2 linked regions of the Coturnix japonica genome follow. Each later gene encodes a partner of the first gene's protein in a complex. Links are inferred from orthologs where the notes say so. Each region holds a gene or a part of one and is shown in the gene's direction. Other genes may lie near its edges.

Region 1 (4,060 bases):
CCCTCGGAGCGTGCAGGTACAAGCAGGGGCCATGCCCTGAGGGCTGGGCACACCTCACCTTTTCCGGTTGTGTATGGCTGCCCCACCCTGGCATTTAAAGAGATGACACAGAGCGGGTGGAGGCGGGGATGGCTTGGGAACGTGTTGCAATCCTTACCTTTCTCCCAGCTCTGCCACGGGAGAGATTTGCTCAACTCCCAGCTGACACAGAATGAAACAAGACGCAGCTCTGTGTGGAGCTGCTCTCCTGGCTGATGTAAGACTTGCAGGCCGCCTTGCTCAGGTGCTTCTTTGCTCTTTGTTACTTTCCCCCTTTAATATACAATACAACCCCTGTGCCCGTGTGTGTCTCTTCAGTGTGTGACATCCCCAGCTCATCCTCATGCAAGCAATGTTTGTCCATCAGCCCGCACCCATCAGTGCGTTCAGATCACAACCAGCGATGCTTTATGACCTACCAGTTCCTGTCATGGAGTGTCACTAAGGGCTCGTGGTCACTCATTTTAATTAGATAAAGGATCTAATTAGTGCAGCCGTTCTGGTTCTGCAGCACTCAACAGCAGCGATGTGCCCAGAGGAGAGCAGCCCTTCGGAACCAGATTCATTTGGAGAGCTGGATCCCAGCAGCAGCTGCAGCCTGTTATTGCTGCATGTGTTTGGCCATGCAATAGCAATGATAGCAGCAAGGAAGCACTGAGAACCACGGTGTCTCCTGGTTTGCAGCAAGGACTGAACCCATGGCCCATATCCACACAGCAAGGACTGAACCCATGGCCCATATCCCCACAGCAAGGACCGAACCCATTGCCCATATCCACACAGGACTGAACCCACTGCCCATATCCCCACTGTAAGGACTGAACTCACTGCCCATATCCCCACTGCTGCCCTTGGTTTGTAGAAGCTCAAGGCCCATCTCCCAGCTGTGCTGAGCCTCGGCCACGTCCAGAGCCAAGGGCAGGGATAGAGCAGAGGGCAGAACAGCGTGTCCTTGTGCGGGGACAGCCAACACCTGGTCCTATGGTCGGTGCTGTGAGCGGCCCCACCATCCCCCCTATGGCCCCACCGCCCCTCCAGCCTCGCTCCACGTGCTCCCAGCGCGCCACTTCCGCGCTCTCACGTGGTTCCGGTAGCCCCGCCCCCCGAGGGGCGTGTCCAATAGGAGCAAGGGGGCGTGGCCGAGCGGGACCGAACCGCAGCGCGATGGGGGGCGGGGCTAAGGGGGTCGCGCATGCGCCATTGAGCCGGGAGACGGCGGCGAGGGGGCGGGAAGGGCGGACCGGAAAGAGAGAGGGGAGGAAAGGAGAGGAACGGGACGGGATAGAACAGCGGGACCGGGCCGGGAGCACGGCGACGTGAGCGGGACCGGACGGGACGGGCTGAGCGGGGCTGCGAGGAGCGGCCTGAGGTGGAGGAGCACAGGCCGTGAGGTGAGCGGAGCTGCCGGCCACACAGCGCGGCCCTGCAGCACCACACACCCCATATACCTCCATACATCCCCACACACCCCCATACACCCCATACATCCCCATACACCCCCATTTCCCCTTCCCCCCCCGGCCCCTTTCCTCCTCTCGCAGCCATTTTCGCCTTTTTTCCCCCCTTTTATCCCCCCCTTGTTGGAGGTTGCGGCCCGACCCGGAGCTGCGATGAGCCTGAGGGGAACAAAGGTGCTGAGCTGCTGTAGGGCCCGTGTGTAGTGATGTGTGTGTGCGGGACAACAACAGGGGGATGGGGAGCTCGGGGAGCGGGGCCAGAGGAGGCCGCTAAGATGCTCAGAGGATGGAGCAGCTCCTGTGAGGAAAGGGTGAGGGAATGGGGCTGGTTTGGATTGAGAAGAGAAGGCTGCAGGGAGACCTCACTGTGGGCATCCAGTACTTGAAGGGAGTGAATAAACAGGAGGGGGAACGGCTGTTTGTGAGGGTGGGCAGTGATAGGACAAGGGGGAATGGTGTTAAACTGAGACAGGGGAGGTTGAGGTTGGATCTTAGGAGGAAGTTTTTTCCCCAGAGGGTGGTGACGCACTGGAACAGGTTGCCCAAGGAGGCTGTGGATGCCCCATCCCTGCAGGCATTCAAGGCCAGGCTGGATGTGGCTCTGGGCAGCCTGGGCTGCTGGTTGGTGACCCTGCACACACGCAGGGGTGGTTTAAGGATGAGCACCTGTGGGCCTTTGCAACCCAGGACAGAGCTGTGGCCTTAACACCAAAACAACCCTCAGCTCTTTTCTCAGCCCCCTCCCAGCATAAAGCGAAGCTTCCTTTCAGCTATGGCATGAGCTCTTTGCTGCTGTAACAGCAATAGGTTTCACATACAGGTGTGATACATCCTATGCAAGGCAGAGGGAGGCCGGGCTGCCACCAGCTCAGTGCTGTGTGCTCACTGACAGTGGTGCTCTGCTGCCTGTCCCTCCAGGCAAGAATTAAACACACAGATGGCACAAAAGAGCAGAGAATCCATCGTGGCTTTTCTTGTTTTTCTCTCAGGAGCATTAAAGTAGCGCTCAAATACCAGAATCTGAGTGATGAGTGAAGCTCGGCGGTCTCTCTGCACGGCTATACCACTGTTGGTTTGTTCAGCACAACCTGTGGAGTCATATCATACAGTGGCCTGGGTTGCAAAGGACCCCCAAAGCTCATCCAGTCCCAACCCCCTGCTGTGTGCAGGGTCAGCAACCAGCAGCCCAGGCTGCCCAGAGCCACATCCAGCCTGGCCTTGAATGCCTGCAGGGATGGGGCATCCACAGCCTCCTTGGGCAACGCCTTTGGTTTCAGCCCTTCCCACCCGCTGTTGCTCTGGGGCTGCCGTGTTCTTCCCTCTCGCTGCCCTGTCCTGGATTGCTGCATTGAAATGAGGCTTTTAAGGAGCAGAAGGGAGTTCTGCAGTGCAGCCCTCAGCTGTGTTGGCTGTGAGATGTTATTTTGCAGCCCAGATACCAGAAAGGAGTGGAGGGATGGGCATGGAGCTGATGTCTTCAGGTTGTGCTTTGTGTCCTCAGGTGACCGCCCAGCGCTGACGTTTCGGGATGGCCGGTGCCTTTACTGCAGAGCTGGATTCCCTTGGGAAGAGCAGGGAAATCTGAGGCTCCTGCCCATTGAACGGTGAGTTACAGCTGATGTGGGAGAGCAGCAATGAATGAGGAGAACATCCAGGCTGGATTTGGCTCTGGGCAGCCTGATCTGGTGGTTGGTGACCCTGCACATTGCAGGGGTTGAAACCAGATGATCATCGTGGTCCTTTTCAACCCTATGATTACATATGAGGAGGAGGGTTGCATTTCTTCTGTTAAAAACTGAATTAATCTTGTGTGGTCCATTGTGATAAAGATGCCGTGGGGATAATGGTGGGTCTGTTCTCAGAAGACAATGTTGGAGTTAGGCTTTGTTATCTAACAGCGTCGTTTGGGGGTTGTTTCACTGCTGGGGAGAAAGAGCTGAATGGGTTGGCAGCCCTGGCTTTTAGTTGTGGATTATTAGAAAGGAAAATATTTAGCTGTGTGTGATGCTGGAGATAACAGAGGGCTCCCTTTGTCCGATGCTCACAGCCCTTCTTGCTTATTCTGCCTTGCCAAACGTTTCTTCTGTAATCCAGAACCTGCTGAAAATCAATCCCATGCAGGTGAGTCACCTTACAGGTGCTTGAATTCACTTGTGCCTCCTGAGCGGGGCAGATGTTAGGGAGCACTCTTGTCTTTTTGTCCTGAAAACGGTTCTGATTAATGGTTTTTTGTGGCTTTTTTTCTATTTTTTTTTTTTTTTTTTGAGGGAACAACACAGGGAAATACATCCAGGGTTCTTCATTCTCACTTCCCTTTACATGCAGTGTGTGGTCAGCGTGGTGGCTGTGGGCTCTCATTTCTGTCGCTTGGCATCCTGCCTGTGAGTAGCTGCTAATTAGCAGGCAGGGCTTCCAGCCCTCCGGGGTTCAGCGTGAGAGCTGTGCTGGAGCTGTGGGAGCTGGAGGGAGGCTCTGTGTGCAGCAGGACGGGCACCACCCCACAGAGCCACATGGGAGCAGTTCTGCTCTGTTAGTTCTGCTCTGTTCCTTCTGCTCTAGGAGCT
Region 2 (3,569 bases), on another chromosome or scaffold:
TTGTTAAAAATATGAAATTGTTTAAATTACTATTTTTTTATGTGTGTGCTTGTTTTGCCATGTGTGTTTTGATTCGTGTGCTTAAAAGATTTGTTTTGGTTACAGCAGTTGACGAAATCAAGCTAGTCTTTGTTTTGGTTGAGCATTGCCGGAGCTTTAATTTTTTTGGCCTTTCTTCTTTCATGTTTCCACAGCTGTGATTGGGTTATTGTACCCATGCATGGACAGACATCTGGGAGAGCCACATAAATTTAAGAGAGAATGGTCCAGTGTAATGCGGTGTGTAGCAGTCTTTGTGGGAATAAATCATGCCAGCGCTGTATCCTATGTTCCAATGAAACTGCATTTTTCAGGTGTTACCCCATTCCACAGATGTAGCCTCGATGCTGAGAGGATAGTTACCTTTCTTGTGGTATAAACTGATTTGAAAGGATGTTTGTATTCTCTGGAGCTCATTCCTTTCACTGTCAGCTCCAGCACAGCAGAAGTGTGTGGTGGGAGTGCTAAAAGAGGCTACTGAATTTCCTGATTTACAGGAAAAGAGCACAGGTTCTGTGAATGATGTGAGAGCTGACAGAGCTCTTACTGAGGTGGCCCTTAGATATTTTTGTTGTTGTTGCAAGGATGGCTTGTGGGAGCAAAACCAATCCAGCATGGCCAGACAAGCTGGGGCTGCTGAGGTTGAGTCATTCGTGGTGTCTCTCACAGACCTTGTTTGTTTTCTTTTTGTCAAAGATTTGTTGATGTAGTCCTGTAGTTCTCATCAGCCTTGGACTATACCTGCTCAGTGAGCAAATACAACTTTGTTGCTTTGGAGAAATGTGAAAGAATTGACAGCGTTTTTCACATGGTTCAAGTTATTTGCAACAAACCTTGCGGTTTTATAACAGCTGTTACAAAAATTCCAGAATAACATTAATGTACTGTCTGTGTTTCCTCCTTGACAGCTCTTCCAGAAAGCTGTCTTTTTAGTTTATTATTGGCTCTGCACATTACCATATTTGGTGTGGCTTTGGTTCATTTGATATATTTTCTGATGCTATTGATTTTTTTTATCCTGTAATTGATTAATTTTACTGATTAGTCGAACATCTAATTTCCTTGAGCTCCCTCCAGGCTGTTGTGAGAAAGTAGGACAGTGATTTTATGTTTTCATCCCACAAATTTGCTTTCAGACTTTAGAAACTCATCAGCCTCCTTTTCAGCACTCTCTCTTGGAAACAAATAGCGAGGATGAGTTGGTATTTCCAAAACATTTTGAGGAAGGTGAAATAATACAAATAGCTTCAGTCATTATTACATTTTTCATAAATCTGATACTCAGTGTTGAATACTTTCATGTTAGTATTATCTACATTTCATTTTTAAGAAAGCATTTAATGTTTTGCTGAATGCAAAGTACCATGTCATTTAAACATAATAGAAGAAAGAGTGACAAGTATCTTTTTTTTTTTTTTTTTTCCCCTCCAGTAAATCTCTGCCATTTAAAGGAGTCTAATGGCAGAATTAAGATTTTATGTGTAGTGAAATAGAGGAGCAGAAAAGGATGGCAAGTCCTTATTCTGAACAGTACTAATTTGCATTTTTTTTTCTGCATCTGAAACTGTGGTGTTATTTGGCAAGTATATAGTCCTGGCTCTTTTACAGTACTAAGACACTAAAAACATGAAGAAGAGCCTTCAGTTGTTTCCCGATATGTTGGCAACATTTAAAAGGCTTATTTCCTTCTTCATCTTAGGTGCGTGGTAACAGATACAGCTACTGCTGTATTTTTATGGTGGGAAAAACTGTTACGTTAAAGTATGATGAACAGAACCAAGAGAACTACTTTACATTTGTATTTGGTATTTCCAAGCTTTTCCTTAACAATTAACACAGAAAGTGGATTTTGCCAACAATATCCAGTTGTCTCTCACGTTAGCAGCTCTGTCAATTGGGTTATGGTGGACGTTTGATAGATCACGAAGTGGCTTTGGTCTTGGAGTAGGAATTGCTTTCCTGGCCACATTGGTGTCACAGCTTCTGGTCTACAATGGAGTTTATCAGTAAGTATTTATTTCTTTGAGGCTAGCTAGTAGTATCCTGAATCTGTAATACAAAGTCAGAATAACTGAAGGGGCTGAATTTGATGTGAATTGTAAAACAGTCAGAACTTAATTTGGGGAGTAAAATACGTTTGTGAAAGCTCTGTATTAAGACTTTCAGTTAGGAGTTGCTTAATTCAGTAAAATTGCTGCTTTTATCAACAATGTTACTTACTTTAAGCAATTACGTTTCTATAATAGTAGCATTTTGAGTTGAAGTGTCTATAACTTAAGCCTATAGATTTGTTTCCTGTGATTGAAGAATTCTCCTCTATGTATGGCACAAGTTTGAGCTAAAAAACTGTTCTTTTCCAGATATACATCACCAGATTTCCTTTATGTTCGTTCCTGGTTGCCATGTATATTTTTTGCTGGTGGAATAACGATGGGCAATATCGGCCGGCAGCTGGCAATGGTAAGTGTGGGGGAGGACTGACTGCCTTCTAGTGATACTTCTGATCTCCACGTCCCTGCTTCCTTTGTACATACCAATCAGTTATTTGAACTTGGGCTGCAGGATGAGGTACAAACTGGTAATAGTTGCTTTTTGATTTGGTTAGTGAGCCATCAGTGCTTTTAATAGGAACGTGGCTCATTGCTTTGCTCTGTATGCTGGGGTGCATGCTTTTGTCTCAGAAGCTAAATGAGAGCACCAGTGTTCGGGCAGAAGTCAAACCACTCCTTAGTCTGTACTATTTCTGCTGCTCACGGAGACAGAAATCACAGCCAGCACTGTTTGCTTAGAACTTAGGGAGACCAAGCTTAACTGGGTAAAGTAGTAAGTTGAGCTATTTCAGTTTATACTGTAGAAAATTCCCCTTCATAGCCTTTTTTTATTAGTTATGTACATAATTATTATTGTTTTGCCAATTTCTGTTTTTCAGTATGAATGCAAGGTCATTGCAGAGAAGTCTCACGAGGACTGAGGAGAAACAGTATGCACCTTTAAAACAGGAAAATATCTGACAAATGACTGTTGGAGGAGCATAAGGAACACTTGACTATGAAATTGCCAAAATGCAATTTTTTTCCCCTTCAGTGGTATATTTTACTGCAATCTGTGATTGCTGCTTCTATAGAAACCTTAATGTCTGATTTTTGATTACTGTGAAGTTACAATAGTATGCAATACATTTGATAATGTTGGTTCAATTATAGGATTCTTTTTTCCAAATCTAAACTGAGTTTACCGTAACTTCTTGTCTGTCCATAATGTTGCAGTGCCAAACTGAACCTTTGCACTATGTTTCTGTAGCTGCAACTTCTGCTTCACTTTATCTTGAAAGTTTTGAGGAATTTGTTCTTAATAGCTCAGTGAAAAATATGGGATTCAGACTTAGGAATGAAGATCTCTTTACCTGATGATAGCTAGTAATACATTTAAGAAATACATGGATTGCAAGTGGGCCTTGATGCAATAAGTAACTGATTTCCGCCTATTAACGCACTATCATTCACATCACAGATGAGGAGGCTTAGTATGAA

The links. The genes of interacting proteins can lie anywhere in the genome.
Region 2: the proteins of SCAP (region 1) and INSIG2 are in contact, whole or in part, in a cryo-EM structure (PDB 7ETW), measured with the Homo sapiens proteins. The link is inferred for Coturnix japonica from reciprocal best matches to the Homo sapiens genes SCAP and INSIG2. Residues at the interface, in NP_036367.2 of Homo sapiens: Pro200, Ser206, Val282, Ala283, Glu284, Ile286, Pro287, Thr290, Ile294, Ala297, Tyr298, Phe301, Lys305, Tyr351, Val354, Val355, Glu359, Thr409, Leu410, Val411, Ser638, Tyr639; in NP_001308258.1 of Homo sapiens: Phe41, Val45, Leu48, Leu49, Ile51, Val55, Leu57, Phe58, Pro59, Val62, Ser65, Ile66, Glu104, Trp105, Ser106, Met109, Arg110, Val112, Ala113, Val114, Val116, Gly117, His120, Gln132.

Annotation. Positions count from the first base shown.
Region 1 is NC_029517.1:772,605-776,664, forward strand, and holds the start of SCAP (sterol regulatory element-binding protein cleavage-activating protein), read left to right. Parts: upstream 1-1,249; 5' UTR 1,250-1,430; intron 1,431-2,997; 5' UTR 2,998-3,100; intron 3,101-4,060. UniProt on the Homo sapiens protein: Escort protein required for cholesterol as well as lipid homeostasis.
Region 2 is NC_029522.1:18,248,175-18,251,743, forward strand, and holds part of INSIG2 (insulin-induced gene 2 protein), read left to right. Parts: intron 1-194; coding exon 195-319; intron 320-1,878; coding exon 1,879-2,045; intron 2,046-2,399; coding exon 2,400-2,499; intron 2,500-2,968; coding exon 2,969-3,010; 3' UTR 3,011-3,569. UniProt on the Homo sapiens protein: Oxysterol-binding protein that mediates feedback control of cholesterol synthesis by controlling both endoplasmic reticulum to Golgi transport of SCAP and degradation of HMGCR.